Drosophila melanogaster: one gene and its partners. The protein of the gene in region 3 interacts with the protein of the main gene of each other region in a pairwise test. Each region holds a gene or a part of one and is shown on either strand. Other genes may lie near its edges.

The links.
Region 1: the proteins of Elovl7 (region 3) and CG6770 interact in a two-hybrid assay, tested with the Drosophila melanogaster proteins (one large-scale study listed by BioGRID).
Region 2: the proteins of Elovl7 (region 3) and CG17147 interact in a two-hybrid assay, tested with the Drosophila melanogaster proteins (one large-scale study listed by BioGRID).
Region 4: the proteins of Elovl7 (region 3) and CG13220 interact in a two-hybrid assay, tested with the Drosophila melanogaster proteins (one large-scale study listed by BioGRID).

Annotation. Positions count from the first base shown.
Region 1 is NT_033779.5:12,042,674-12,050,255, reverse strand, and holds CG6770 (uncharacterized protein), read left to right. Parts: upstream 1-4,137; 5' UTR 4,138-4,280; coding exon 4,281-4,490; 3' UTR 4,491-4,913; downstream 4,914-7,582. Other genes in the region: PLCXD (Phosphatidylinositol-specific phospholipase C X domain containing), read right to left, coding at 1-160; Plzf (promyelocytic leukemia zinc finger), read left to right, coding at 1,395-1,907, 1,964-2,860; CG6785 (uncharacterized protein), read left to right, coding at 7,265-7,582.
Region 2 is NT_037436.4:20,218,228-20,226,391, reverse strand, and holds CG17147 (uncharacterized protein), read right to left. Parts: upstream 2,461-8,164; 5' UTR 2,370-2,460; coding exon 2,363-2,369; intron 2,106-2,362; coding exon 1,099-2,105; 3' UTR 1,068-1,098; downstream 1-1,067. Other genes in the region: CG17145 (uncharacterized protein), read right to left, coding at 3,475-4,472, 4,534-4,540; CG6933 (uncharacterized protein), read left to right, coding at 6,289-6,331, 6,729-7,777.
Region 3 is NT_033777.3:7,990,845-7,999,790, forward strand, and holds the start of Elovl7 (ELOVL fatty acid elongase 7), read right to left. Parts: upstream 5,009-8,946; 5' UTR 4,579-5,008; coding exon 4,576-4,578; intron 1-4,575. UniProt on the Drosophila melanogaster protein: Catalyzes the first and rate-limiting reaction of the four reactions that constitute the long-chain fatty acids elongation cycle.
Region 4 is NT_033778.4:11,280,913-11,288,492, reverse strand, and holds CG13220 (uncharacterized protein), read right to left. Parts: upstream 4,211-7,580; 5' UTR 3,996-4,210; coding exon 3,534-3,995; 3' UTR 3,395-3,533; downstream 1-3,394. Other genes in the region: Fbl6 (F-box and leucine-rich repeat protein 6), read left to right, coding at 1-848, 907-1,117, 1,176-1,345, 1,402-1,542, 1,607-1,774, 1,828-2,060, 2,121-2,255, 2,325-2,529; CG9062 (uncharacterized protein), read left to right, coding at 4,768-4,809, 4,888-5,107, 5,170-6,164, 6,225-6,329, 6,394-6,533, 6,603-6,798, 6,861-7,055, 7,114-7,219 and 1 more.

The DNA of each region.
Region 1 (7,582 bases), on a different chromosome or scaffold from region 3:
TGCTCCACGATACCTCCAGGAAGCGCTTGCGGGCACTGATGGTCAGCCAAACCTTGAGCGCTTTGGGATTCTCATAGGATTCGGTCTGTGCACGTCCCTCATTCGTCCAGGAGGCGAGGAGCAGCAGCACCAGTGCAAGGCGTAGAACTTTTCCCACCATATCGTTCTGATTGAATTACCCTGCTGATTCGCGGTGATTGCAACTGACGCTAATCGGCGTTCCGGAATCAGAGCAGTAATATAAACACGACACCCCGAGAGATCAGACCAGATCAACCGTTCGCGTCGAGAGCTCCACACTCAATGATCTGCGACCCAGACCCCAAATAACTTGGCACAGGTAGATCTTATCTATGCTATGTGCTGTTTATGGGGGCGCCAGTTATAAAGGAAAATTGGAACCTGGCACGGGGGAGCTTAGCGAGAAAGATATGTGTAAATTAAGCTAAATTTCTATTTACTTTGGGATTCCCAGTAATTAGCCGTTATGCTAACCGAAGGATTAGGTTTCAGCACAATTGCAATGACTGCGTATAAAGAACATTTGACCGCGATTCGAAGCCGATAAGATTTCAAACAATAGTGGGTGGGCAAATTCTCAGCCTATTTATTTGCACTCGACTTTAATTGGCAGTGTAATGTTCGTTGGCCTTTGGTAATTCAGAACACAAACAAATTTGCCGGAGGTTAAGCAAGCGTATTTCCTATAGGAAGCTAAACAATGGATGCGTTATGATTTGATTTAACTCCGCACCGACTAATAAATTAATGCAAAAGCGACCGATCTGTTCGTGTGGCCGACATTCCGAAACCAACGTCTCCTCTCAACTGACGCTCAAATGTTCGAACAGAACTGAGAAGAGCTTATTAAGCGGGCCCTATTATTTGTTTAACTCTTCCAATTTCCCTGCAAGTCGCTGATGTTTGAGTGTCAAAACATAAATAAACAATTCAATTCAACACCCATGACGGTGTTTGATATTCTGTAAAGTTCATTGGCTTTTTTATAGGTTTAAAGTTTTGAAGTTTTGAAAGTTGAAAGTTTTAAAAAGCATTTTTTAAAACCAATTTTTATAATGTTCTAAAGGTTTCTAAGAATCTAAAACAATAAGTTTTAAAAATATCTAATCTTAAAATAACTAAAAATGTGTAAATGTGTGTATGTGCTGACTACATAATAATTAAATAATTAATTAAGTTTTTTAAACAAATATTTAAGAACTGTCTTTTAAATTCCCATTTTTAAAGTAACGGTCGAAAAATACTAGTCAGTATTTTAATACACCGTAGCGCATATTGGTCACACTGTTGAACAGCTGTTTAGCCGTCCTAAAGCAAAACATTTGATTATTTTGTTTATATCGAGTGCTAGTAGCATTATCTAAGCTGCAGAAATGCTGCACTCACAGACAATGCAATCCATACCCACTCTGCACCAGCCGCTACACTCCAAGGTATCGAACTATCTAAACAATCAGCGAAGAACCGGACAATTCTGTGACCTGCTCCTCGAACTGGATTCGGATGATTCCCTCAGCTTAAGCGTCCATTTCTGCGTACTGGCTGCTCAGAGCCAGTTTATAAACTCTAACCAGAAGCAACAGCAGTTCTCCATTCACAATCCGCTGAAGATCACCATCCGTAATTTCAGCTGCACCCAATGCCTGCACACAATTGTGGACTTCTTCTACGAGGATTTGGTGTCCGTGTCCAAGGAGCACGAACTGCATTTTAGGGAGCTAGCGCAAATTTTGGCTGTGACAGAACTACTGAATCTCTACCAGTTGCAGCCCTTGGGCGAGGCGAAGGAAGCAACGGAGATCCCAGCACCTGGAGAGGCGCAACCAAATCCAGATCCAGAAAAGAAAGCGGAGGCTGTGTTTGAGAATCGACAAAGTTACTTCAAGGTGGATAATATGTCATTGAGCCACTGCCGTAACTTATATTCGCCTTTTCCTTAAAGCTTAAGAACCCGCGAGCTGTAAAGTCCAGCAGCAAAGTGAACTACTGCATTGGCTGCGACTTCAAGTGCTATCAGGTACAGAAAATGATCGAGCACATGGGCAGCTGTGAGCCCTCCCATTTGATTTGCTCGCTGTGCGAAGTCGGCTTTCTGGACTGGCGGGAATACGACACTCACCTACGACGGCACTCTGGTGATCTGCGTAAGCCCTTCTTTTGCTTACAGTGCGGCATCCGCTTCAACACACGAGCTGCCCTGCTCGTCCATCAGCCTAAGCATTCCACGGAAACGCCGCACATATGTCCACATTGCGGCAAGGGCTTCAAGTGGAAGCAGGGCCTGAGCAATCACATCCTGGTCCACAATCCCGAGAAGCAAATGCTCTGCGACGTCTGCGGCTATAGCACCACGCACATGAAGGCCCTCAAGTCGCACAAACTGCTTCACACCGGAGAATTCTTTGCGTGCACAGTTTCAGGCTGCAAGCATCGAGCCAATCGCAAGGAGAACCTCAAATTGCACATTGAAACTCACAAACAGGGTCGCGATTTTATCTGCGAGGTCTGTGGCTGCAAGTTCAGCCAGAGCAAAAACCTCAAGCGTCACGCCCTCAAGCACACGGAGAATGGTCCGAACCGCTACAAGTGCCAGCTGTGTGGATTCAGCAGTCATCGCTCCGACAAAATGAAGGAGCACGTGCAGCGGGTTCACACAGAGAAACCGGTGCAGTTGGAGCTCTCGGAAACGGTGGACAGTAGCTTTCCCGATGACTTTGAGCTTCCCGTGATCGAAACGTCACCCAAGAAGAAGCCAAAGAGTGTTAAGAGCAAGACTATAAGGAATGTTAATCCTGACAAGCGACTGAAAACACTACTGCCCAAGGAGACTGTAGAATAGGAATAAAACGGAAGGTTACCCCATTCATAACTTCTCAGAGAAAGAGATTTGTGAGGCAAAGGTCAATAGTAAATATTTAGAATAACTATGTTGAAAAGAGACTGTATCAGCAAGTTTAGAACATTTGCTATATTTACAAAATGAGACGTGGGATCTCTCGTTCTGAGTTCTAGTACAACAAAATTGTATCTAGAATATTCACGGAAACCCAGTTTCTTTTTAAAGCCATTAAAAAAGAACCATCGAGAAATCTAAAGATTGATTTGCTACCAACGAATTGTAAATAAAGTGGTATATTGTGGCAGGTTCTTGAAACAACATTGTTGAGGCCGTTCTATCTTATCTAAGATGGTGACTACGATCTATTGCGTCGTTTGAAGACGAACTTTCAGAACGAATACCTGCCAAATGACTAACTAGAGCGATAGTTAGCACCTTATCAACGCCAGAAGGCTATGTATATATGTATGTACGTAACATTTGTTTATATAAAATCCATTAAACCAAAACAAACTGAAAGCTTTTCGCTATTCAGAAATAAACAAATGCGTTGCCTGGTGGGAGGGAAGTGGGTCAACCGATCAGGTTCTAATGCACCAAAATAAATATCCATTATGAGTATATCTTTTGTAAATCAAAAATGTTATTCGAATTATAATTATTGCTAAATTGTTTCTTGTGCCCTAACATTCAAATATTGTTGAGTGTAAAAAAATAAACAAATTTTGAGCAGTGTATCCAGAACATATGATGCATTTAATTCTATATTTATTGGGTGGAGAAACAAATGCAGGGTAAATGCACTTTGATGGTCGTTTGCGGAGGGCCAAGGTGGGTGTGTGTTATGTAACCACTCAGGAACGTGTGTATGCTTAAAAGTTCTTAAATTATTAAAATAAATGAACAAGGCGAAATAATATGTTTGGCGATTTCAGTTTTTTTGTTTACCGCGCACTTTGTAAACAGCAAAAAATTAAATTGCGCAGCAAAAATTGTCAAGGAGGCACTCTCTTGAGCGCAAAAGGGTTGTCAGGCCCAATAACTATGAATTTTAATAACTAAAAATTCTTTTACATAAAAAAGAGCAAATATATTTTGTAAAAGTTCAGTAGAAAGTTATAGAAAAATTAAATATTTTTAGTAACTACACGTAAGCAACAATTAAATGCCCTTCTAGTAGTTTCTTTAGCTAAATCCGGCAACTCTGACGGAGAGAGAGCTTTGGTTACGGAACAGAAAGCTTGCGCGCCTATAAAAGCCGCTGCTCGACCGAAAAAATTCAATTCCGTTCGCAGCTCAGCGAAAAGTGAACAAAAAAAAGCAGAAGAGAAATTTGGAAAGCAGCCTGCAAGTTTGCAGAGAAACAAAAAGCAGACACCAACCAAGAACGCAGTTAGTTTTGCAACCTTAAATCGCCATTATGTCCGAGGCCCACTTCGATGAGTACGAGCACTACAACTTCGACCATGACAAGCACATCTTCTCTGGACACAGCGGCAAGCAGCGCAACAAGAGGGAGGCCAATGAGCACACCAACCACTTCGATCCCTCCGGTCATTCCCGCAAGATTCTGACCAAGCTGATGAACACCAACAACAACAACAAGAAAGCCGCCGCCTGCAAGAACTGATGCAGGGCATCGACGGAGGCGGTGGAACAGGAGAGAAAGAAGTAACGGGGCCGCGCTGAAAGGAGAAAAGAAATCTTCGAATTTAAAAGGAAAGCAAAAGCAAAGGAGAGAAGAAAAAGAAGAACAAGCAGCAGTTTTGCTGGAAGGAAAGAAAGAAAAACAAAAGCCAGCTGGAAATACACATTGCATTTGTATTGTGCATTGGCTTTTCATGCGGCGCTAAACTTTGTGAACATTATAATAATTTTATTTCGCTTATAATTTCACAAACACAAAAAAAGAAAGGCACATACTACTCTTAGCTTCTAATATATTCCTAAACTAATTCAGACTTGCAAGTTTTAGTTGCTAAGCCTTAGAGCGTTTCAAATAATGAAGTTTGACTTAGGTAATACATATAAAATAAAGAGAAAACCAAAACTGAATAGCCTGGTCGTCTTATTTTCATTTGCATTTGCAGCGCACCTTTCCAAGCGAGAGAGCTTTTTGAATGCCGTTGGTGTGCTGTTGTGCATATTTATAGCCTTTTAGTTGAACTCATTTGCACTCAGCTCCTCGATTATCGCAAAAGCAGTTGCAGTCGACTTTTTTCTTTGTTTACAGCGATCGACCAAAAAGAGAACATGTATGAACATATTTATTTGTGTATGTAATGTATGTATGTTAGTTTGCAAACGGAAATATTCCCGAGACCTTCCATTGAAAGTTCACCAGTTACACAGGTAATTAAACTTGCACACACATATTCCTGCATCATTTCTTCCGGTTTAAATTTGCGTGTAAGGTTGCATTTATGAATATTGCGCCGCTTTTATTGACTTTCAATACTAAACGATATTTTTACATTAGGTGTCCAAAATTACAAAAGCTATGTTATTTTCCACTCACAAACAAACAAGCACACGTACAAAAATAAACCGAACAAACTTTTCCAGAAAGGTCCACTCTAATGGAATTCTCTCCTCTCTCTCGCTCTCTCTCTCTCTATAAACGCCATTTGCCGGCTTTTTGAATTGCGTTGTTGATATTTGGTAAACAATAAAACAGACTCTCGATCAGGTGGTTTTGCTATAATGCATATTAATGAAATTGTTCGAACATATTGACAATTAAAATTCCAAGACTCTTATGTATGTTTAAATTCGCATTTTGGTTAGTCATAAATATTCCTTATCTTCATTAAATAGCATTTCGTCTGAATCATTGATCTATCTAAAAATGTGGTGTTCCAAACTTCAAACAAATAGAAGGTGATGAAAAACCTGTTTTTTTATAAAATTAAACATTGCAATATATTGCGTGTTAAAAGTGCCTTAGAATCGGTTTTTTATTTTTATTAAATGTATTTCTAAATTAAAGATTCGTTAAACTCGCATTACAAAAGTAAAACAAAATCGATAGATAAACATTATCGCCGCGGTTTCAAACAAAGCAATATCAACAAATAAAATTTACAATCGAGCTTTTTAGAGGAAAACAAGCAAGAGGTCTAAAAAACGAGTAAACAATTTTGGGGGTAACGAAACTAGTTTGCCACGCTGCGTTTCGCCGGTAAACATATGACGCATTAATAGTTCAGTAAAGTCTAGAAATCGATAGAAGTTGAGGTCTATACATATTTACATACATACATACATTCATATTTATGTGTATGTAAGATTTGAAGGTAAGATAGTACATCGAATATACATACATACATATGTATACATATGTACATATGTACATATGTACTTCGTGATTGCACTTTTCTAGTTGCGCTCTTAAGATTAAATACTAACTTCATAACATGAGCAATTTTCATTTCATTTCAATTCGCATTAAAGAATAAAATTGTTAACATCGCTTTCTTTTCTAAGATATGAGTTTTAATAGGTGGCTACCTATATGTATCTATATAATAAACTATGATAAGCTCATATGTGTATACAATATTCTAATACGATATCCTTTCTTTTTGGTTACTTTGTGTAGTATACCAATTTCCCAAAAAAAACTGTGTATTAGCATTTTTAAAATGGTGTTGTCTTCAAATTTCGAATCGTTAAGGCGATCTCACCAATGTACAAACACCCCATTGATGTTGACTTAACGTATCTTAATTGTAGAAATAGATTTCTTTTCAACCCCATTAATGAAAGTCGCACGCTTGCCACGATTTGTGTCTAAATATGGGCATGTATGCAGCTTCCTAGATCGTGATCTTCGCCTGGCACACGACCGACGACGGACCTCGATGGCGGCCACTCCACAGGCGTGGATCTTTGTGCTCCAACGGCACAAAGCCATTCCAATTACGATTTCCTAAATTCCATAGTCCATCTTCTGGAAAGAGAATCATATTGCACACTTTCACCGCGAAAAAAAAAAACGAATTTGTGGCGAACAACAAAATCGGGAATTATGCATAACTGAATGGAGAATGGAAGTTAGCATCGGATGGGATGGGATCGTAGTACTGGCTACATTGGTGATATGGATGGTGCTAATTGCCGCGGCACTTGGTGGCTTGGATGAACCGTTAAATCGAAACTGGAGCACTGGCCCAATAACGATGATGCACGCGGCCCGCGGATTAGCACCTTTCAACGAGCCACTACGGATGGATGTTCTAGATACCCAAAAACCCGCCATTAGCACCATTGCCGGGCGGAGTTTTTCTGGCTCAGCATTGGGACATCTTCGGTTAGTTGTCGACTTAACTCCGAGCCAACTGGCCGTGCGGTGTGTGCTGAACCAGGATTCGAAACAATAGAATCAATAGTGACAAACGGATAATGTCTGCCTACGAGAAAATGCCGGCGAAGGCGCCACGACGCCTCTCACCCATATGGTTTCTGGTGGTCACGTTTCTTCTCTTTGCCACCACCTTAACGGCGCTGGCCGTGATCGAAGCTGGACGGGCACAGAGCAACGCGGGCGGAGAAAGCGATCTCCTAATCCTTACGCGCATGTGGAATCATTTCAAGTCCGGTGCCGATAATGATACAGAAATTGCCACGGTGGAGCGAATTGCTAGGGATGCCGGAAATGCAAGCAATCCGAGTGCATCCGCATCGCAGCAGGGCAGAAACTTCTACGAGGAGCAGCAGGCG
Region 2 (8,164 bases), on a different chromosome or scaffold from region 3:
CAACATCTCTTTACCGGGTACACATGGTCACTCTGCGCGCGCATTCGTTTTTTGAGCATCATACAACGCATTATTGGAAACATTAATTAATTCAATTTAAGCATTAAAAGACATCGTGGAGCTAAGTTGTATAAGTTATTTGAGGAATTATTATTAGGTACAACTTAAAGTACAACAACACGCAAGGCGCAGTGCTGCGACTTAAATTCTCTGTGCGGGTGTATTTATCGATAACAGCCGAAACCGAATCGGTAAAATTTTAATTACGAATGTAACGGTCGTTGATGATTTCAAAAATGCAACAACAAAGCGGCAACTTCGTATGGAAAACGCAAAACTAATTGAGTTTTCTAAAAAAAAACTGCGGATTTATTTTTTACTTCCCATTGTCCTACGCATACATATAAAAAAGTTCTTATTTTCCTGAGCATAAGCTCTCGTTTTATTGCAAATTAACTCAACTACGTTTTGTAGATAAACAAATAGAAACAGTTAACAAGACGGTACTATTAATCTTGGTATTTTCATGTGGATGTTGTTCTACATTTTGGTAACTGATCAACAGAACGATAAAACTAATTGATTTCTAAATTTAGAAAGATTAGAAATGTGTTGTCTAATTTTAATGCGTACCATACGGGCAATTACCTGAATTTTAAATGTGTGCTATTAATGGATTGCTCATAAAGCACATAGTATATGTTTGTATTGTACCCAAAAAAACTGAAATTTCAAGCCAAATCGTAAATATAATTGTTTTGAAAACAAAATAAAAACAAAAAAAAATGCTATAGTCGAAGTCCCCGATATTTTTGAATATTAGTAGAAATTAAAAACCAAACCATAATTTAAAAATTGTTCGAAAGTGTGGTCGTGACAGTTTTGGGTGGTTTGTGGAATATTGATCCTGATCAAGAATATATACTCCATATGGTCGAAAACGCTTCCCTCTGCTTGTTACATACTTCTCAACGAATCTAGTATACCCTTTTAACCTGTGTACCTTTCTAGTGTCTTTGCTTTTAACGGATATATTGATCGCCAATAAAAATCAACTACCTCTTTTTCTTTGCACTTTTAGTTAAATTTATTTTTTGTTTAGTCCCGGCCATCGCAACACTTATCGTAGATGATCTTGGAGGAGCACGCTTCCACTGTCTCGTCGAAGAAGTGATCCCAGTGGCAGGTTTCCTCCGTCACCTCCTTGTTGTCCACACACCGGATGTAGTTGTGACAGTTATTGCTGCTGCTGGTCACCAGCATCGTGCCGCGTCCGTCGCATCTGTTGTGGGTGCACACCACTGTGGTGGGATTGGCGCAGAGCTGCCGATCCTCGTCGAAGAAGTAGCCCTCGGGGCACTGCGTCCACAGTGGATCCAGGTCGGCGACGGGATAGAGGGCCTTGCATACGAAGTATCCACGGCAGGTGGCTTGGTCGGATTTGAATGTCATTGTTGTGCTGCTGGTGCAGACGTTCTCCTTCGAATGGGCGGTGCACTCCACCTTATTGGCTTCCACGCAATTGCCGCTCTCCACATCGAAATACTCGCGCTTCTTGGAGGTGACAGTGCAGCTCTTGGACGCATGGTTACCGGTCTTGTCACACTCATAGTAGTAGGCGCAGTCCTTCTCATTCCGGAACTTCGTATTTTCCGCCACCAGCTCGCAAATGTTGTTCACATCCACGCACATGGAGTCCACGCCGTACAGGCAGGACTGAGAGCGCTCATCGAAGTGCTGGCCTACGGGACACATCCCCGCCAGCGGTACGCCGTTCATGCAGTAGAAGTACTTGTGGCACTCGGTCGGATCGGCCACCCATTCGCCATCCAATCCCTCGCAGCGATTGCCGCAGTACTTGTTGCTGTTGGCCAACGTGTCCACGCAACTACCCTTGCTGGGATTGAAGGACTGGTTGGAGGGGCAGGTCAGGACGGTGCCGTTGCCATCGTAGCACTGAATGTACTGGTCGCAGGTGCCGGGCTTGCGAACCTTGGTCCCGTTCTTGAAAAGGCGACACAGCTCCTCGTATTCACCGACACTCGCCGAAAGAGCTACGGTAGCCAACAAGAGAACGCATCCGAGAAGCACTCCAAGTTTGAGGTCTACGAATGATATACATATGATCGCGAGATATTAGATTGATACAGCACACCTTTTGAAAAACATATAGATATGCTTAAAAACCTTTAAAGATATACCTATAAAAATGAATATGAATGAACAAAATATCTAGATTCTACATTTTAATTGTATCTTTAAAAACGCATGCAAGCTGTTACTTTTCACTAAAAATAAAGGCTGAATCAGGGTGTATAAGTAAATATCTATGACGGTAAATTAATGGGTTCATAAAACTCACTTAGCATGGCTGATTGCTGGGAAACTTTGGTTTAATTTGCAACAGAATAGATCGAGTGGTTTGATGTGGCCTCGGGAACCAATTACGCGCGACTAAATGGAGTTTCGTGAATGGAAGAATCTTATATTAACTAGGAGTCATTATCGTTGCCACTGCTTCTGCTGATACCAGCGCTTTATTGCCTCTCTTATGAGCAAATCTTATCAATGTTGTGCGAAAGGAGGTAAAACCCTTCAAGTAGGTCGTAATTGGTGATTGAAATCGATTGAAATCGAGACAGCTGACTGCAGATTCCTTAACGACTCACTTTCATAGTAAATTTTGGCAACTTCAGTCGAAAAGGAAAGTGCCACTAGTTAATGAGGTATACCCACGGTAGTTACGAGTCAAATGAACCTTCTGTTGGCCGTTAATTAATTGAACTATAAATATATTTATCGCTGATGCGATTAAACGGTCAGCAGTTATTGTGCCGTAAATATGACAACCTTTTAAAATATACTGCCTTGCTATTTCACTGTCGCTTTCGATAGGTTTTTGTTTGGAAAATCAGAACTTTTGAAAACATTGATTGTAACCAACGAATAGGACAGTGATTATCATTTATGGTCTCCTCGGTGAGGCCATGCTATTCCATCGTTACCACCTGCAAGAAAAGTTTCCATGATTGAGTGAATTCTTAAAATTCTATTTGTTCATTTACCTAGTTTTCAGCTGAATTGTTCCAGGAATATTAAACAAAATACAGGTGTTCTTCACTCACCCATCAGATATTATTTATTCGAATTTCGAACTAGAACTTGTTTAAGATTATTGTTCTTTTTGGTAGCTAATCTTAAGCATTAGAGCAACGAAAACAATCTACGTTCTTATAAAAACGGGTAAAAAAACAATATATCTCAACTACGATCCTCGAGTTACAGCAAAGATACTGGCTTACAGCAGAAACTTGTCATTGTGCATAAACACGAACTCGCTAGAGAGCCGCGTATCTATATCTATGACAATCCAGGTTCCACAGTCCCCGAAAGAATCCAAACTAGTGCACTTCATTACAACACTTCCTTAACCAAATATCACATTGCATTCTGAGCTTTATTGGAAATACATGCCTACGTCTTGCACGCGGTGTAGGTCTGGACACTTGGAGTGCAGGCGCCCTGCTGGTCGTCGAAGAAGTAGTTGCCGCAGGACCTCTCGCTCACGGTTACCCCGTCGGAGCAGCTCAGATAGTTGCGACAGCCCTTGGTGGCACTAACGACAAAACTAGCAGTCCGACCGTCGCAACGATCGTGGGAGCAATAGACCGAACTGGGGGTTATGCACATCTGGCTGCTCGCATCGAAGAATCTGTCCTGGGGACACTGGTTCCACACCGGATTGGGGTCCGGGGTGCCATCCTTCTGCTTGGCGCAGTAGAAGTAGCCGCGACAGGTGGCTTCATCCGCGACGAACTTGTTCTCGTAGGGCTTACTGGCCTTGCCGCAGACATCCGTGGGCAACGGATGGGCATCGCAGTCCACCAGAGCCTTGGACACACACTCGCCCGTGCTGGCCTGATAATAGGTTTTCGAGCATGTCTTGTCCTTCAGGACGCCCTTCTCACAGACGTGATACATATTGCAGCCCTGCAGATTGTCGAAGTTTACGCCGTTCTTAACAATGCTGCAGTACTCGAAGGTGCTGGTGGTGCAATCCGATTCGTGTTGGCGGGAGCACATCTGGGTGGTGGCATTGAAGTGCGTCTCCTGCGGACAGGTGCCGTACAAGGCCGTCTCCTCGTCCGCACAGTAATAGTAGCCGTAGCAGGACTTGGGGTCGGCCACGAATTGCTTGGCCCGATCCGCGCAGGATATCGAGCAGCTGGACGTGGAAGTGGACAGTGACTTAACGCATTTGCCCGTGTCCTTGTCGAAAAACGGAGTAGATCCCGTGCATGTACTGTAGTAGCTGACGGAATCGATGCACGTGATCGATTGACTGCAGGATTCGGGATCTCGGATCACCGTATTATTGGAGAACAAGCGGCAGATGTCCTCATTCCGGCCATTAACCACATCTAGGCCTTGAAGCAGTAGCACCAGTGCCACGCCCAGTATGGCACCAAATTCTGCAATTTGAAAAAACAATAAAGTTAGATTTACACCACTGGCAGTTTGCAATCCACTCACTTTCCATTACAGCTCAACTTTGGACAAAGCATAAACTCGTACTGAATCTGAACGTCGACCTGCGATTACTTATAAATATCAGAGGATAAGCAGCAATCACTATTTGCTGGCAAGATAAGCGGATTGGTTTTTGAGGGGTATTCAACTGGGTAAGATGGGTTAAATAAAGATGAATAGAAGTCATTTGTTAAAAGCTCGAAGATTACAATCAAATGTATTGATTTTGCTTAGGGATTTGCTATATAATATTTTTGAAAAGGTAAATGATAGAGCACAAAAAATGGGAATGTTTGATAAAATTGTATTTATAAATTTAATGTTTTTAAGGAGCATTCATAAAATTTTACTTCAGAAAAAATTAATTATATTTTTCGTTGCTAAAGTACTGGGTGATTTCTAGTCGTAGTGAATGGTGATTTTATAAACAAGTTGGAGATTGCCAATTGGCTACCGGTAAATTAAATAGGAAGTAGATAAGTTATCATTTCGGCCAAAAAATAGTAATAAAATGAAGAGCAAGATCAGCTGGTTTAATTCATAAGGCTTAGTGGGTTAATAGAGAGCTTCCCTTCTTTATTATAAAAAAAAAAACATTTTTAGTACTCTACCAATTAAATATAAAAAGTAAATAAGCACGTAGCTTGAACTATTTTTTAAGAATTTAAATTACTTCGAAAATGCCTTGTGATTTGGAAAAAGTATCGAGTAAAGTGTTTAAATGTCATTGCATACTTATGGGCGAATTTCTAAACGGACAAAACTCGCTTTTAGGCGAAACAATAAAATAAGGCGGATAGATTTAAAATAGTTTAACGGAAAATAAAACTGACTAAAAAAATGGGGTTTTTGTTATTAAACATTAACATCAATTATTTTTATAGATTATATAGATAGATAATAAAATTTCAAAATACTTGCATATAATTGTACTATTTAATTATGCATACAAATAAATAAATATATATAACTCATAATTTCATAATTTCATAGTGCGATTTATTTATTTTGTATTTCAGTTCAAACGGTTCTTTTGGACAAGTTATTAATATAAACATTTGTAGTTCGGTAATTTTTCCCCAGAACCTGATAACCTTCAGAGGAAAGTCTAGTCAAGTCAAGTCAAGAGTCGCAGTGCGATTCAAATTGAGATATCTAACTAATGTCGTGTTGCTGAAATGAGTGCCGAGATACCAGGGAAACACCACTGAGTGATCAATAAGAGCCGTGACACTTTCCCGCCTCCTCGAGCTTCTTCGAAATTAAAAAACAATTATAGACAAAGAGGGTTCGCAATCAGCAGCTGATAATCCAAATTCCGGCGCGGCTGTCAACGTATAAAAATATATATAAACTATATATACATACTAAACTAAGTATGTATGGTGTCCGCTGGCCAAGAATCGATTTGAGCTTATAAGCCAGTCCATTTTGGCCGGGTCCGCTAGTTTCACTTTCGTCGTCCAACGCCTTCGAACCGCCTTCAAGCTAACCCAACAACTTCGGAGGGATGCAAGGTGCGTGGTTTACCCCAGACCTTAGAATCTTATCTAGCATTAATTTCGATACTAACGCCCTACTGGCGGCTGGCTTATCTGGCTGACAATTTTTTAATTACCCACCCAGTTCGCGCCGCGAATTGTCAACTATAAAAACGCAAAGGCTGCAATTGATTGAGTTAGTAACGAAATCGGAACGTTCGCTTCGGTCGTCTGTCTATCAAGTGAATTTGTCCCCGAAAAATATTAGCATTCCAAGATGGGAGGTACGTTGGCTCGAAGAACGGATACAGTTATCTCAGGTGCACAGTATTCAAGACGTCTTGCTTCGACTAAATTTTGAAAAGTGGTTTCAAACATGGTTTTAAGGCCCTGAAATTCTCCTGCAAAGGAGATGACTTTCAAAAATGGCTAAAATGACTTTCAAATTTCGATTTGTTACTCAAATTGAGTTTTTCTTTCGTCCTTAATTGATTTTTTATCCAAAAAAAGGGCTGCCGTGTTGGCTACAACAAAGGCTTAACCAATTTTAGAGACGCTAACACGAATTTTGGATTGAAAGCTATCAATTTTGTCGTTTCTAGCATAATTTCTTTGCATTATTAAGTACAAACAAAATAGAAAACTATTCGACGATTACACATGTCTATATTTTATTTAATAATTCATAGTTCGTATCCCCCTGTATCCCCCATTTAGCAATCAATATGAGGATCTGTGTCGTGGCCGCATGTCTCCTAATGGCATCGCAGGCCACCGGCTACACGATGGATGATCTGTGCCAACAGTGGTCGGGCTATGGATACATCGGCAATCCGAGCAACTGCCATGCCTGGGGATACTGCAAGAACCAGGAGGTTGTGGCCTGGGGCACCTGTCCCAACGGCTTGGTGTTCAACGCGCAGGCCGGCAGCTGTGATTACGCTAATACCACGGTGTGCTCCACCAGTGCCGTTGAGACATGCTCCAACGTCAAATCTCCCATGTATGTGGCCAATCCGTTGAACTGCACCGAATACGCCTACTGCGATGGCACAGGCCAAATCTCCTATGGCGATTGCGGCACCGGCGGCGTCTATTCGGCATCCTCCACAAAATGTATATGGGGACCCGCCTGCCCGCAGGACACCATCTGTCGGTTCATGTTGTCCAACATCTTTGTAGGCGATCCGAACCAGTGCGGCAACTACATCAACTGCGTCAACGGCTATGGCACTTCCGAAAAATGTTCCAGCACCGCCAATCCCTACTATAATAAAGCCACTGGCAACTGCCAGTCGACGAATCCGTGCACCGGCGAAGATTCAAACAGTGGAAACTCTGACCAGTTCACTGTTGGGCAAACAAATGCAACTGCTTGTGACGAAGAAGCTTTTAAAGCAGCAGATCCACTTACTGTAAATGGGGAATCTGTTGACTATAGGTACGTTTCTGATGGTGTCACCTGCTATGGGTACTACTACTGTGCAGCAGTAAACGCCACTGGCTATTGGAACCAATGTCCCACCGGTACCCAATTCAATGCTGGCAAGTGCGTTTCGCCAGCCTCCTTTGTCTGTACCCATAACCGATGTGGGAACGTTAACAATCCATTCATGGCAGATGAGGGTTGCAAGAACTACACAATCTGCTCCAGCGGAATAACCGGATCATGTCCCACCAATGCGCCGTACTACGACGAGGTGAACAATATCTGCACCACCAAAATTCCCGATTACGCCATTTGTAATTCGACGGCTAGTACATGAGCATCTCCTCCAGCCACGTCTGTTTGCCGAGATACCTTTTATGAAATATATAAATAAATACCAATGCTGAAGGCATTCAAAAGAAACTAATAAAAATGTTGACTTCGACCAAGCGAAATTTGTTTTAAATGTTGTTGTTTTTGAAATTGTTGATTAGTTGTTCGCCTTTTTGGTAGCAAATCTTTCAAAAAGAGGCTCACAGAAAATGTGCCTCAAAATATAAATATAATTTCTGCGGGATGGGTATTTGTAAATGTTATCTGCCAAGCTAAGTTAATTAAATAATTAATTAAAAAAATTCAATGGCCTCCATCTATTGTATTAGAAGAAGGTGGAACAGTAAAACCCCATTGCTTGGGAAATTTCTGGAGAAGTTACTTGATTGAC
Region 3 (8,946 bases):
GATTTATTTTAACGACTTTTATATAAGTCTCATCTGCCAGGGCGGCACTAAGCAATTTGCACAGTAAGAAAAAATTATGGTTTCCCGTTTGTAGAGCCGCATAATTGTCCAGCTCAACACTTTTACTTTCCCAGCAAGAGCAGCCGCAGCAGTGGAAAAGAAAAAGCAATGAGAGATAAATGTAAAGGGCCAAACTGGTTTGAACCCATATGAGTGGAGCATCAGGGGATCGGCGATCGATCGAAGCCGATTGGAGCTGAGACCCAAACTCGTGTCGCACTTAATGATTTTCGATCATTAAAGAAAAAATTGCTTTGTATGGGGAGGGCCAAAGAAAAATCAAACACAGTCGCACGAACCTGCGCAACATAAAAATCAATTTATAGGTCAAGTTGAGCGCAGCCAACAAACAGGGGGGATCAAAAGAAACACAGAGGCGCGCGGAGGGTTTGCTCGTGTATACGAATCTGTATCTGCAACTGGCTTTCGGAGTTAACATTCAGGTTCAGACCGCGACTTTTACTCCGGCAGCATCTTGTCTAATATGACAAGCGATGATGCAACATGCCGCGATTGGTTAAATGCGTAAACAAATCTTCGGTAAATGGAAAGCCGCTAAAAAAAAAAACACCAGAAAAAAATAAAGTATTAATAATAAGACAATAAAGCACCGATTACAGCCCGCTGATCGATTCCCGGCTGTTGTGGGTCAAGTTGAAAATGCAGCGTGCGTTTTTAAACTTTCAAGCGAATACCAGACTGCGCGCGACTTGCACGCGATTGAAATCGCAGGCGATTTCCTAACCGAGTTCGGAAAAAAACGCGCCAGCAACATGTGCACCAAATGCACTTGCCACACCGCAACAATAAGATGTATGCGGGGCCTATATGCATCCGCATTTGTGTGTGTTTCGCCAGAGAAGTCTTGACTCCGGCAACTTTTAAAAGCAGCTAAATCGCGTTAATTTGGCAATCGAGTTGTATGTGGTTCTTGCTGCCCAGCCGCGCGCTTGTCGTTGGCCCCAAATCGCCAGTAATTAGTGCAAGACAATTTTTTTCGAGTGTATGTTGTTGTATTGCTGCTGCTGCTGCTGCTACGGCTGTGCTGCCGCAAGGAAGTGGTGTTGTTGCTCTCGGGGGCGGTTTACTACGCTCACTGAACGCAGCAGCGTTTCAAGTTGCAAGTTGTTGAAATTCACACAAAAAACAATCAAGATAACTCTTTATGAATGCATACATTTTAAATAAAACACAATTTGTTTAATATTTAAAATATTACAATGAATGAAGATCAATCTGGTCAACAGTCAAGTTAACTGATTATGTATCAATATTAATTAACTAATATACATTTTATTTGGGCGTGTTTCGTCATCTGAATGATTTGATTATGCAAATAAAGTATTGAATAGATTTAATTTTCCACATTATTCACTAACTATTTAGGTCAGTCAGAAATATGGTAATATGAAGAAGTTTCAATAGGTTTTGGAAAATTCGAAACCTTTGAGCATTTTTATTTTTTGGTTAATAAGATTATATGATTACCAATTTCTTTCAGTGCAAAGCAGTTTTTGCAGCAACTAAAAACTCAGCCAGTAGTCAAGTGCACAGCTGCAAATACTCAACAGGTTGGCTAAATGTGCGTAAGTGTAAGTGAGTTCCCCAAATACCATTTGAAAGCCTCAATTCGGGGGATATATTTTAGCTGATTCATTCTACATTGCGTTTGTCAGGCCGCCAATGTTGATTTTTTCGTGAACGTTTATGTTAGACGATTGCATTAAAAATGGTTCCATACCATTTGGATTCAGGCATTCAGGCATAATATGCAATTCGAATTGGGAATGTCGAACTTTGGTTTTCGTCCCTGCTGCCATTTCCCAGCCTAAAGTTCTCTGCCCCCAAGCCCGTAAATCACTAGCCACACAATTAAACAAGCAATGACTTTTAGCTCCTCAATCACTTTACATTCGCGTATTTATCAGGTTGTTTCTGTCCACTAATTTAAATTTTGCTTTAGCCCCACAATGTTGATGTTGATTTAATTATTTTGTGTTCGGATTAAATGTGTCGAAAATATATTACTGCAAATGCGTTCGTTGCTTTAAAATGGAATTTATTTGTAATTTATTGTTGTACGACAAGGAAATTATTTAGAAAATATTATTAAACATTTTTAAAATACTTAAAAACAAAATCGAACAACTTTAGCACCTAAGTCCCATCTAAATTCGCACTAATGGAAATATGTTTAATCACGAATTCGGTATGACAGCATGGCCCACTAAATAATTTAATTTATACAAATAAATTCATCCAACCGACCCAGTTTAAAGCGACAAATATGTATAAATTAATTGTTTTTTCGGGAACGAAGAGTTTGTATAAAATTGCAAAAAAAAAAAGGCACTCAAAGAGCTGTAAAATATGCAAGCCAGCGTGTTTGAATAATAATTTAAAAGCTGTTATTTTTAGTGTTTTTAACACCTTTACTGGCATAACTTTTCTGTCTAATCTCCAACGAGCAATAATTGAATTTCAAATGACACTTACTTCAATCACGGGCCGATAAGAGTCCATAAATGTAATCATTTTCAGGTACTCTCCGTTTAATGGTCTCTTTACGTTTATCTACCTCGAATTCCTCTCTTCGCTTGCGTTATCAGTTTTTAAGTGTTAATTTGCTCGGGAATATACACAGCCAGTAAAAAAATTGCTGAGAGACACGCACTTTTTTTATGTAGAACAATAAACCTTTGCCCAAATGGCATATTCGCAATTGAAGTGAACGAAGACTAGCTAGCTACTGAGAAAATCGCGCATACGCCGTGTGGAGCCAAACAAATCGAAATGGAGCAGCGAATGCACTGCGATTTCAGTCACATGCGGCAAGCGTTATCTCACACACACACACACACACACACACACACACACTAAGTACTAAGAGGGCACTCTGCCTATGGTTTTGTGTTTACTATATGCTCTCTACATGATTCTCTTACCAAAAAACAGCTGAGTGCCGAGCGGCAGTCAACAATAAAGCGACGTCAATGCGTCTGAGACTGGCTCTCCAATGTAGCTAACTGGCCCACAGGGAATGCAAGCAAATCGGCTGATTAAGGCACATTTTTTTTTATTATGATCACTTGGCGGGGGCTGCGCAGTTTGGCAGCTGGGTGGCAGTGGCTCTGGCTCCAACAAGCAGCCTCAAACAACCCAGACCCGATAGCCCATAGCCGCCCATAGCCAACTGGCAACTAGTAAAATTCGCCGCCAGCGCCTTTGCACTTTTCAGTGTCAAAAGAGGCAACACAAAAATGCGGCAAAAGTCCCAGTCGAAAATAAAATCGAGGTGTAATAATCATTGTGTAAGAGGCCAAAAGGAGAAGAAAACAACTCGAAGATTTGAATAAGTTTCGATTTCTGGGTTGCCTGCTTATTTTTTTTTTTCTTTTTTTTTTTTTTTTGTGAAATGGTGCAATGCCAGTGATCATTAGCCAGCGGTAGTAGCGGCGGCGATTGGTTAACCCACTGGGGTTTTTTCTCTCGAATTTGCAGAGCTGCTGAATGAATATGAAAATCACTGGATTTCTACACAGCAGCAGCATCTGCAATGATGGGCCGAAAGCATAAGTAAGGTGGACGGGACAAATGAGTCGGCCTGGCCCTGACTGGCTATCATTTCACCTGCGCTCCGATCGCCAGTTATCCCATATCCCCGGCCGAGATTCAAGGTCAGCGATGCACTGCATTTCCGTGTGAAATGTTGTCATGCCAGTGAGCTGGTGAGCTGGTGAGCTGGTGAGCTGGTGAGCTGGTGGGCTAGTGAGCTGGTCAAAGCCAAAAGCCAGCCTTCACTTCACTTGACCGCCAGCCAGTGATGTTGCTGGTGTAAGTGCTGCTGCTGCAACTGCGGACATAACACAGCGACAGCTTCGAAATAAGTGCAGCACTTGCAGTTTCTGTATGCACTTTTGGCGGAGCTCGAAAGCGAATGGCTCTAGCAAAACAGAACAGAGCAAAACGCTCATGTTTTGTGGCAGAAAGCGGGGGAAAAGTGGGCGAAAAGCGTGGAAAGGTCTGCGCGGAGTCGGCAAAAATGCATTTGGGAAAAAACAGTGGAAAACCTTGCTAGCGAATGTGTACTTGAAAACGAAAACCAGTTGCTGGCGTGCGGTTTTTTTCCATTTCCAAAGAAAACGAATAAGAACCAGGAATGGCTGGTGCTCGAGAGGTTTTCTCGATTAATAATTTGCTCAATTAATTTTAACGGCTGCATTGCGGATATTCATTATAGGAGCTTTATTTATTTTTTTTTTTATTATTAATTTCTTGCTTAATAGCAGCAGCAGCACACACGAGTCGTGTGCAAAGGGTCATTTGTGGGTTGTGGGATTTAACGGAAAGCCCAAGTCAACGTACGATCATGTATATTTATTTATTCAGGCTTGCATGTTGGGGGTCGGCATCGAAATTACTGGTTGCAAAGGCATTTTAATAAAGGAGGTTTCAGTGGCATCAATTTTCCGTTGAGTCACACTGGGTGTTCGGTCGGGAACCCCCGCTACTTACCATTGTGCTAAAATTCGCTTCAACAGGTACTAAATGCGCGTTTATATTCCGTTTGTTACAAGGAAGCGTACTGTATTTATTTATTTTTTCTTTTTTTTTTTTTTGACTAATTTACAGAGATTCTCTCGACTTTGGTATACGAATTATCACTTTTTAGCGCACTATCCTTGTTCGTTTCGTTTCGTTTTTTTTTTTCGTTTTTCTTGCTTGTAGGTTTTTAGTTATTGTTTTACACACGCACACACTGTTTGACCATCGTTATACGGTTTTATGGTTTCTACATCACTGTTGCGGGGAACTGCTGCTGATGCTACTGCTGATGCGACCGATCTGCCGCTGCTGCTGCTCCGCTGGACTTTACTGGACAACAACTGGACAGCGACTGGGCGAGCGTGCGCTTTTTACATTCAAATCAAAAACACTGAAATAAGTTTGATTTCACGCTGCCGCTTTACTTTTATACCGCCTCGCAGTCGTAGGAGCGGACTTGGCGCAGACGTCGACGCAGATCGTCGGCGCCGCCGACCGCTCATTTTCGGCGAGCGTGGCGATGGCGCTGGCGTTGAGGTGAGCCGAAGTCGAAAGCTTCGGTCGCTAGCCACAGGTTCTGAGCAACAGGTTGTCGATGTGTGCTCTCGCTCTGACAGCCGAAGCGATCGGGTCGGGCGTCAGGATGCCAGAGCGAGAGCGAGATCGGCCAGCGGCCCTTTGGAATCGAATTCTTGGTATCCACCAGTGGGGGTATCACCCGCCTTTGCACCCACACCCAAGTGCGGCGCTAATTGCCGCCAATCCAAATATCGGAGCGGTACTTTTGCCGCGTCTTGGCAGCGCGCATGATTGCACAGTTCAAAGTTCGGCAAGAATGTCCGTTAATTAACCCCTGCCCAGGCCCGGCCCTTCATATCGGAAAAGTGTGCAAAAATTAACGTAGCCACAAATCAAATCAAATCAAATCAAATCACGGCGAGGGAGAGCGGCGGAAAGGTTGCCAGCAACAAAGCCCAATCTTTGGATACGTATGCGGTAAAAAGCAGAAGAAGATGGGGCTGACCAAACCAGTTTGCCTCTTGGGCTCTTAAATATTTATAATGACCAATACTTGGCTTTCCTCCGTTTGCCTTCGTGATGGCCAATAAATGGCCAAAATGCGCCGTGAACTTCTGAAACATACAAATTCCCGAATGGGAAAAGCGGCTACCGAGACCTGGATGTTGCAGGCAACCTGGCGGATACTTAATATTTCGGAGGACCCGACGCTTACTTGTTATTTGTGCAAGCTTGAAACGTTACGTAGTCGATTTTTGTGAGCTAAGCAATTAGATCGAACTTTGACAGCGGCTTGGTTGACGATTTACTTACCCTCAATTAACGACCCTTCAACTACCTTTATTCTAATTTACCTGCTAAAAATCTCACCATTACCCTGCACTTTTGATGCGTTTTTCGACAAAAAACCCAAGCAATGCAACAAAGCAAACATTTGCATTTTTCGTCTCAAAGTCCGCTGCATGGCCGCCGAGCACAAGATCTTTTTGCGGAATTCTAACCGAATAACACGTAACTGACCATGTAATCTAGCCGCGCCAAATTTACATGTGCAAACAGTCGGCGGGGGAGACGATGAATATGTATAGACATGTCGCCCTAAGCTGATCCCATCTCACAGATCCGAAACACGCGTCTGCCATATTGGGGGAAGTATGAATACGATCGATTCAAGGGCTTTCTAGTGGCTGTATGACTAGAGGAAAAGCTCACGATGAATTGACCATGCTAGATCAGAATGATCCTCCTTATATGGACAGAGATGGCAGGTAATATTTCCGCTTGCTCTGAAATTTTCCATTTGATCATCAGAATTTAGACTGCGACTGTACTCACCAGACATGGATATGTTTTTCCCAGTTAGAATGCACTTCACTAGTCCTTTAACTAATGCCGCGCACGACAATATATTGTAACACAAGTTTTAGGTGCCGGCAAGCCACGCCTAGTTGTAAAATTTATGTGAACAAAAAATCAAAATAAATAAGCACTTTATACCCAGAGATTCAACCTTGAGCATTTGCAGAAAATTTACATACAAATCGAAATGTTAAAGCAATCTGAAAAATATTCATAATCTAATTAAATTCATTAACGAAAGTGCACCAGTTCACCATTTGAGTTCAGTGTGTTAATTTCTCAATGCGATTGCATAATCGCAAAGTTGAAGGAACTTGGCCGCGACTTCCGATCGATTTGATATACTCCGTTTATCCACCTTTGCCGACCATCGATCCAACCGCAATAAACGGGGACCTAATGACCGGAACCATCAGGTTATTCAGAGCTCATTCCCTGGCGGAGTACAATGACTTTTTTCCGAGATGCTTCTCATCGTTAGTCTGGCTTTTGGTTTTTGGCGAGCACATGCGGCGTATACTTAATAGCGCAACCTTCGGCCCAGAAATATCGACTTCAATTCAAGTCTCAATCGGACGAGCCGCGCCAGATGACGATCGTAATGATGCCACGCAGATGAACCACGACCAATTTTGGTGGTGGTGTGGTGGGTGTCGATCGCCGGCCAAAGCCATTGTTTATTGGGCCAAGCTTAGGAGAGTTTTTGTGACTCGGATCCAGCTCTTTGTGGCGCTTGTTTATTTTTGGACTCTCGTTAGTATTATTGGCCTTATCCGCACTTGGCAATAATAAAAAACCAGAGTTCAAGGTTGCAAATCTCGTAAAATCACCCTAGCGATTATATAGCAAGGCAGTAGAATTTACATCGGACTGGTGCTAATGAGCATATTGGTAGAAGGCAACTGGTATTATCATCTGGGAAAAGCTGCAATTGGTTGGACTGCACCTCCCTGCAGTTGTGCAACCGAAGATGATTGATGCGTTGATTTCGCGATGCCGGAGTCTCAAAAGCCCTCGAAACCACAAAAGCAGCCGACACGTTGGATTGCAAAACCTAAACACGGTTCGAAAATTAAAAGGTTAGAATCTACAAAATGGTACCGAAAATACAGTTCCATACGGTTCTATATCCTATTCGTATATTTAACAAATTTCTATGTGAAAAATAACTCCATTCAATCTTTATAAGTTAATGAAATAGACTTATATTCCAAATATACTAGTTTATACTTCAGTGTATGGCGGAATTGTTATTTCTGCTGGTGCTTTTCTGATTATTAAATAACGGTTAAGTCAAGTGGCATTTTTCGATTCTGCAAATCATTCTCGCCCGTACATTATCGTGGAATTTGAGGTCTGAGGCAATGCAATCGAAAGTGTGAAATACCAAAGACAGGCAAGAATAACAAACCAATGCACGAGTCATTCTCCTTTCAACCCGCCCCCAGAGAACCCGTGATTATAACTAAATCCCCTTCAAGATCTCCCAATATCTAATACATACACGTATAAAAAAGATTTAAAACAATAAAGTCTGAACTAACACGGCTTCCCATTCAGAGCCACTCAAATTTGTCGACTGCTTTCCGAGCAAGTTCCGATCACATCGATCAGCGACTAGCTCGATCGCCCAAAATTCCACAAATCCAGAGAAGTCGCAAACTGCTGACGACGATGGCGAGTCTGACGAAGACGACAAGCTGGAGATGGCGATGAAGGTGCAGATGGAGATGGGGTTTAGTACGCATATAAAAACAAGAGAGACATTAGAAATTGCGCAAGGCGTTCGTGTTTGAACATTGATCGGCCATCGTGAAAATATATCAAGGTCAGCTAGTTGACACAGAAACCAAACGAATCAGCTAACTAACATTAATTGATGGATCTGTGCGTTCCAAGTCGGGCAATTCAATAGCCTTCCAGCACGGGGGAATTATCTGCACTCCGGATTTGCATAAGAAGTGGTTGAAAATTTTAAATGAATTCAATTAAGCTATATATTATATGCATTTTATTTATTATTTTTGATTGCCCAAAAACACGTTTTCATTCACATGCTAAGTATGGCCCTAAAACTCACGAATAACGGTAAACGGAATGCATTTAAGATACCAATGCCAGCATTGTAATTAGTTCAACTTGTAACGAATCAATATGTATTCATATTTCAGAACTCGGTCATATTTCCACTTGCTGGTCAGAGTCTCAGAAAAACAAATTCATGTTTCGCGCCAATAAAATGTGCAGCAAGTAGCTTTTGTAAGACTTCGTCAAAACGCATCGGAAAGATACTGGATAAAATACCGATATGAACTCTAATAAGGCATACTTTATAAATATTTTAAATTATATGCATATAAGCTTCTTTTTAACAATTAAAAAATATTCAAAATGCACAGATAGCTGCTTAATTATATAGCAAATATGCGTACATCAAATACCATAAATCCGAGTAGTGGAAAC
Region 4 (7,580 bases), on a different chromosome or scaffold from region 3:
ATGGTGTAAAAGAGAAAGCTGAAGTGTCCACCGCCAAAGATTCGGCGGAAACGGCTATGGAAGTGGAGGCAGATGACACTGGTGGTCAGCAGCCGGAGCAGAGTGAATTGTTGGATAAGGAGAAATCTGCCACGGTGGATATAAACACACTCACTCCCTCGACGCCCTCACAAACCCCGCCACAACTGCTGGCCGTCGAAACTGCCACATCGGGAAGCACGGCCGTCATTCCGGAGAACATCCTGTCCCCGCCCAAGTCAGAAACTCAAACCGATGAGACTAACACGGCAACATCGACGTCCTGCTCCCCAGCCTCTGACGGTCAGCGGTCGCCGGCGGCGGATCAACAGTCATCGGCACCACCGCCACAGGTACAGGCACAGGCCACGCCGGCGCCGGTCAATGGCTCCGTACCAAAGTCGGGGAAACCACTCTCCACAGCGCTCAGCGGCAAGAAGACCAGCAAAGCGGCCACTACGTCACCACGTGCATCCAGATGCCGCAAAACCAAGGCGCTGCCCATGTACGAAAGCGAAATCAGCGACAACAAGATGGGTATCCGACTGTGCATCAAGAAATCTGATGCCGGAGAAGGCGCACCTGCTGGTGTCACATCTCCGCCAGTTGCAGTTCCCGCAGCAACAAAAACTGTGCGCAAGCGCGTCCGTAAACCAAAGCAACAGGACAGCGATGAGGCCGAGTATGAGCCGCGCAAGAAAAAAGGCGGAGGAGGTGGTAGTGGCGGCGAAAAGAAGGTTTCAACGAGTCCGGATGCTGCGGAGGCGGCTGGCGATCCAGTCGAGCAGAGTGTCTGGGCTCAAAAGCTGCCCGAGGAAGTCCTATTCAGAGTGAGAATTAAACCAAGCAGCATATAAATGGTGTTCGTAATATGAATTCATCTTACAGATCTTTGAGCATGCTGTGGATACACAGGGCTGTCTGCCCACCCTGTTTCGCCTTGGCAGAGTTTGCTCGCTCTGGCGGCAGGTGTCTCTTAGGCCTACTCTGTGGCGCACTATGGATCTTACCACATGGGTCAAAGAGAAATATCGCACCGAACTCAAGCTCAAGTGGTTTGTCGACAACCGCTGCAGTGCCTGTACAGACTTGAATGTTTGTAAGTTGAGAAGTATGGTCTTGAGACTATAATTTAATTTTAAAATATCTCCTTTCAGCCAATTGGAAAATATCAGACATAAATTGCTTCCTTGCCAAATTGTCAAGCGGGTGCCCGAACCTTGCAGGCATTACGCTCTCCGGCTGGAAAGGTTTCACTTCGGATCATCTTACGTATTTGGTGGATAACATGCACAAGTTGCAGCGCTTGGACTTAAGTTCCATCAATGTATGTTGTGGCATGTGTTTGCGAAGCTATATCTGATTCAAATTTGTATCGCACAGGTTGAGATGAATGCCAGCAAGAGCGCCGTGGGTGTCAACTCCCTATGCAATGCACTCCAGACCATGGGCAGCCGTCTAACACATCTCTATTTGGCGCACAATCGTCTGGCAGGAATACCACAAATAGTCGGAATTCTTTCGGTGAGTTCACAACGCTTTTACAACTTATTTCCTATGACTTATGGGCTTCTTTTTCATATTGCAGACGCACTGTCCGAATCTAACATTATTGGATCTCTCGAACGTGACCACGCAGGCCACATCACACGGTGTACTCCACATTGAGAAGTTGCAGCGTGGCTGCCAGAAGCTAAAGGTCCTGCGTGTGACAAACTCTCATATAACGCCAAGCACGGCATCAATGCAGGAAATTGTAAGATTCGCATTTCAATGTTCGAACTATGTTTTAAAAGAAAGCTTTTGCAGATGGACTCACCTGGTTTTCCGGAACTTGAAGAACTGTCCGTGGCTGCCTTAACAGATGAATCCCGCATCATAAGCGACGACCATCTGCAGCGCATCCTTAAGAGCAGCTCCAAGCTAAAGCTACTGGACGTACGCAACTGTACACGACTGACGCACGAGAGCCTAATCCGCTTACCTGCCTGGGATATCAAGCATTTATTCCTGTCAGGTTGCTCAGTCACACGAGATATGGGGTGGGTCTAATTAGCATTGTTATGCAGAACGCAGACTAATCAAAAGTTTTCCCAACGTAGGTCGGGTCTGGAACTCATTGCCTCAAAGTGGGCGCACAGTCTCATAGAACTGGATTTGGCTTGGGCGAATATGCAGCAGCCCATTGATAATGCGTTGCGCGCCCTAGCGGAAAAGGGCAGAGATTCGCCGTTGGCGTGAGTATATATTGAACTAATGTATCTATTGTGTGCTAATATATATTATAATTTATTTCTCCCCTGCAGTCATTTGAATCTATGCGGCTCCTCTGTTTCCGATGAGGCGGTAAAGGAAATACTGACGAACTGCCAAAATATGAGCTCCATCAACTTGGCATCGTGCCGTGGTCTGCCGCGAGGCGTCAAGCGCTTGATGCAGGGACCGCAGGAGCTAGGCGAACTTCGGGAGGTTCTGGGGGTGCAGCTGAAGAGCAGCAGCGGGAGCAACTAATCCAGTCAGTGGGCAAGTCCACACATCGGTTTTATTGTTGATCAGGCGGGCCAAGTTTAAATGTAATTTAAATTGTTGCATCCCTCTTCGCGCGAAAGGCGTTAAGCGCTTTGTTGATTTTGTAATGTAGTCCGCAAACATATTGCAATATTTGCATATTTGCAATCGCTTGCATCTTCCAATAATGCTTATTTTGTTTATAGGCCCTAGAGCGTAACTACTGTACTAGCATAGTATTCTCTGCACAGCGGCAGCAGCGAGTTCCTCCCTTTTCTGGAGGTGCCCGCATTAGATGCTGTGCGAATAAGCAACCTTTTGTAAATGCAATATGTATTCATAACTAAGTTGATTCGAATTTTTTGCAGCGCGAAAATCATTTCCTTTTGAAGACAACCGTTGCAACGATTTTCAATGATTTTTTTTAGTATATATAATGGTATATATATATATATACATACTGATTTATTGATAGTTAAGTCCGACCATTGAGCGTTTGTAAAGTATGTATACAAGAATTAAAAATAAGTTTAAAGTGTATAATTCGCAATACAAAAAGAATATATTTACCATAAAGTAGTCGTCAATTCAAAGTCGCCAAGGCAATTTGTAGAATGTTTTAATCCGACAAGAATGTACATATTGGCGTTTCCGATTAGATGTTTTTATATAAACGAAGTAACCATTTATAAAGGTAACGCATATACCACACATACATAACATAAATTAAAACAATTCAATTGTTAAGCATTACTAGCAGTTAAGAGACGGCAATTAAAGGTACATTTAATTTAAAATAAACGCAAACATTTTCAATCTACACCCGGCATTATCCATCTCTTGACACAGCAAAACACACCGCTCAGTCGGGTTTATAGTATAATTTTATTCAAATATGCGGGAGATAATATTGCATTACGAGCTATGTACGGCCAAGACAGCAATTACAGTACGAACCCACTTTTGGGTTCGAATACCTCAGTCCTATATCGTATCGATCAGATCATCTAGTTCTTCTGCAGCTTATCCACGTCCTGAATGTAATCAGTGCCGACCTTCACGATGGCGGCGCCAGTTCCCAAGCCCGCCAGGGTCGCCAGCAGTGCATTGTCCTGTGGCAGGGCGGACTTGATGAGCGCCCAGGCCAGAACGGATCCCATGGAGAATAGGGTGGCGCCCAGCAGGGCGTACGCACCTCGCTTGTTGTTCTTCACGTCCTTCAGGTGGGGCCTGCCGTAAATGTAGAAGGCACTGCCCACCACCGCGGAGATGAGGAACACGTTCGTCAGGTCCTTCTTGGGCAGGATTTTGGGCACGATCTGGGGGTTCATAACATTCACCGCAAGGGCTCCGTAGCTCACCAGGCCGTGCAGCGGTATGTAGTAGTTGAACACATTATCCCGGGTGAAGGGCTTGAGGCCCACTTTGTCGCATATGCTGCAGGCGTCTTTTGACTGTGTCCCGGCCATTATTATCGGTGAAAATGCAATTAAGTTTTTGGATCCCGGTGAGGTCGACGAGTCTTCTTCTTCTTGTTATGTAAAGAATAGGGCTGCCAGGTCGCGATATATGTGAAAGTTATGTCGGTCTTCGCGGACACTCTGCAGATGGTATATCACTGGTTCTAGGTAGATATGTGTATAAAGATGTAAATGTTTTGACCAATATAATATGTCAATGTCTGAGAGATCCTAATATATAAATGTACATATCTGACAGGGAGAGTACTTGTTATCAAGGGCTTTAACGCTTGGAGCGCTCATGTTAGTGGGCGTTTTGCGTATTTGCATAACATTAGCCCCGATATTTCCTGAATGTACAATTAAAAACAAATGTTATAGTTATTTTCTTGGCTGGTTTTTTAAAAATTTTCGAATTTTTAAGTTTAGTGGTTCCGGAACGAGTCACCTTTCTGAACAAGAAGTGTCAACTCTGTTGAACAGCCGGCACGGTGTGCACAACCAGGTGGCAACACCAGCCGGCGCAGGAGAATGAGTGGAGGAGTGCCTGAGAGGTGGGAGGACCGAATGGGGAGAGACAGAGAGCGAAATAGGTGCGAAAAATTTGTAGTTGCCTGGAAATTCCTCAATTTCAATTTGCAAAAAGTAAATATCAGCCGCCCCAAAGCAACGTCGATAAATGTGCGCGCCCCGCGAGCAGAGAACAACCAACGCCAGCTCCTGAAGCACTTCAGTCCAGAGATATCGCCGAGAGCCACAGTGCAGCAGATCCGTGGACGACATGTTGACGCACAAAACTTGTCAGGCACGTAAGAAAATGCAGGTGAGTGCGCCAATTGAAAACGGGAAGGAAAGCGGACACCTAAGCCCAAACTAATTCAATTAAACCGTCGGACGCCAGGTTTCCTTCGTGATACGGGACGCCGAGGAGAAACAGCACCGGAATGGCGTAAACGCTCTGCAGCTGGATGCCAATAACGGCAAGTTGTACTCCGCCGGTCGCGACGCCATAATCCGTGTGTGGAATACACGGACGGACTCCAGCGAGAAGTACATACAATCGATGGAGCACCACAACGACTGGGTCAACGACATAGTACTTTGCTGTAATGGCAGGAACCGTGAGTTGCTCCACCGATCAGTTTAGGCATTCATTCAAACATTCAATCTTTTGCACTCATAGTTATTAGCGCCAGCTGTGATACCACGGTGAAGGTGTGGAACGCCCAGAAAGGCTTCTGCATGTCCACCCTGCGGACCCATCGCGACTACGTGCAGGCGTTGGCCTACGCCAAGGATCGGGAACAGGTGGCCAGCGCTGGACTGGACAAGGCCATCTTCCTGTGGGACGTGAACACACTGACCGCGCTCACGGCGAGCAATAACACGGTTACCACCTCTAGTCTAACCGGGTCCAAGGACTCAATCTACAGCTTGGCCATGAATCCATCGGGCACCGTGATTGTGAGCGGGTCCACGGAGAATATACTGCGTATCTGGGATCCCCGCACCTGTATGCGCAGAATGAAGCTGCGAGGCCATACGGAGAACGTGCGCTGCTTGGTGGTGTCGCCCGATGGAAACCAGGTGGTGTCTGGCAGTTCCGACGGCACGATCAAGGTGTGGAACCTGGGCCAACAGCGCTGTGTTCAAACCATCCACGTGCACAAGGAGGGCGTGTGGTCGCTGCTGATGAGCGAGAACTTCCAGTACATCATCTCCGGCAGTCGGGATCGCAACATCATTGTGACCGAGATGCGGAACCCTAGTAACAAAACGCTTGTGTGCGAGGAGCAGGCGCCCGTGCTGAGTCTGGGCTACAACATCGACAAGACTGGGGTGTGGGCCACCACCTGGAACTCGGACATTCGCTGTTGGAAGCTGCCCATGTACGACAGGTGCACACTAAATTCCTCGGGCGGAATGGACGCACAATGGACACAGGGCGGCACTGAGGTGGCCTGCATAAAAGGTGGAGCCGCCATCAAGGAGTGCGCGGTGCTGAACGACAAACGTTATATCATAACCAAGGACTCACAAGATCAGGTCGTGGTGTACGATGTGCTGAGAGTTGTCAAAAAAGAGCAATTGGGCGCTGTTGATTTCGAAGCGGAGGTGAAGAAGCGTAATAAGCAGGTCTACATTCCAAACTGGTTCACTGTTGATCTGAAAACCGGGGTGAGTTAAGCTAAGCTCTATTGAAGCTTAAGTTCGTTTATACTTAATTATGCTTTGCAGATGCCAACGATTGTATTGGGTCAGGAGGAAGTGGATTGCTTTTCCGCTTGGGTTTCCATTGAAGCTGGACTGCCGGAGTGCGTCGATCCCACAACAGAGATTAAGGTTGATCGCTCATCAGACCCCTTCACATATTAAATGCCATTTAAAATGCTTTGTTTTTTTATAGATCAACTATGGCAAATTACTTTTAGAAGCCCTGCTAGAGTACTGGACACCACCGCATAGCATACCACCAAACGAAATGGAACCCGATATGCACGGCAATGGCTACTTCCAAGTGCCCAAGCACACGCCCGTCATCTTTAGGTTAGTGACTGTGATATAACCTTATCTGCACCATAACTAATTTCTCAAATTTCTGGCTAAATTAAACAGTGAAGTGGGTGGCCGCACTGTTTGCCGACTTTTGGTACGCGACGCAGCTGGCGATAGCGAAAGTACCCTGCTCCACGAAACGGCGCCTCAGTGGGTGACCGACGTGGTGATCGAGAAGAACATTCCCAAGTTCCTCAAAATACCGTTCTTCCTGCAGCCTCACCCGCAAATGACCAAGCCTGAACGAACGAAGAAGGTAGCCGTCCTTGACAGCAAACAAAACTCATGTTCTAACGCAATTTATATTAAATTTTTTAGGATCGTCTTGTGGCTAATGAATTTATTCAGTGTCGCAAGGTCTGCGAGCACGTGCTTGAAAAGGTGCTGAATGCGGAAACTACCCCAAGTGGGGGCAATGCTAACAATTCACTGCAGAATAGCCAGAGCGATGCTAATTCGGAGGGATCCCAACTGCCAGCTGAGGAACGAATTGAACTGTGGTGTAACGATGTGGTAAGACAAATGGACAAATCTCATTTAAAGGACCTTGTTCACCGCCTTTCCTTTAAAGGTTGTGGACCCCAACATGGACCTGCGCACGGTGCGCCACTTTATCTGGAAGCAGTCGACCGATCTAACGTTTCAGTACAAGACCAAACAGAATTTCAACTACGATGGTAAATAAGAGAGCCCACGCATTGAACAACACAAGAACACCTATCACAAACACAACGCATACTTGATTTCTGCAATTGCTATTGCCTAACCGAGAGTTGTGCTTATATATATCCGCCCCATAGGTTCGATCGGGGATAGCTTGGAGCGCGTGACGCGCAAGTATTGAACGCTGGCAAGTGATCTCCCGCCTAACCGAAGCAGTACCGATGCATTATTGAATGAGAACGAGATTGAGCAGATCGATTAACAATTTATATTTTTATAAGTTGATTTTGCAATATATTTGAGTTAACCTGCGATTCGTCTCATCTCTTCTCGACTCGACTCGTGGACAAACACAAACACATTCAAGGAGAATCT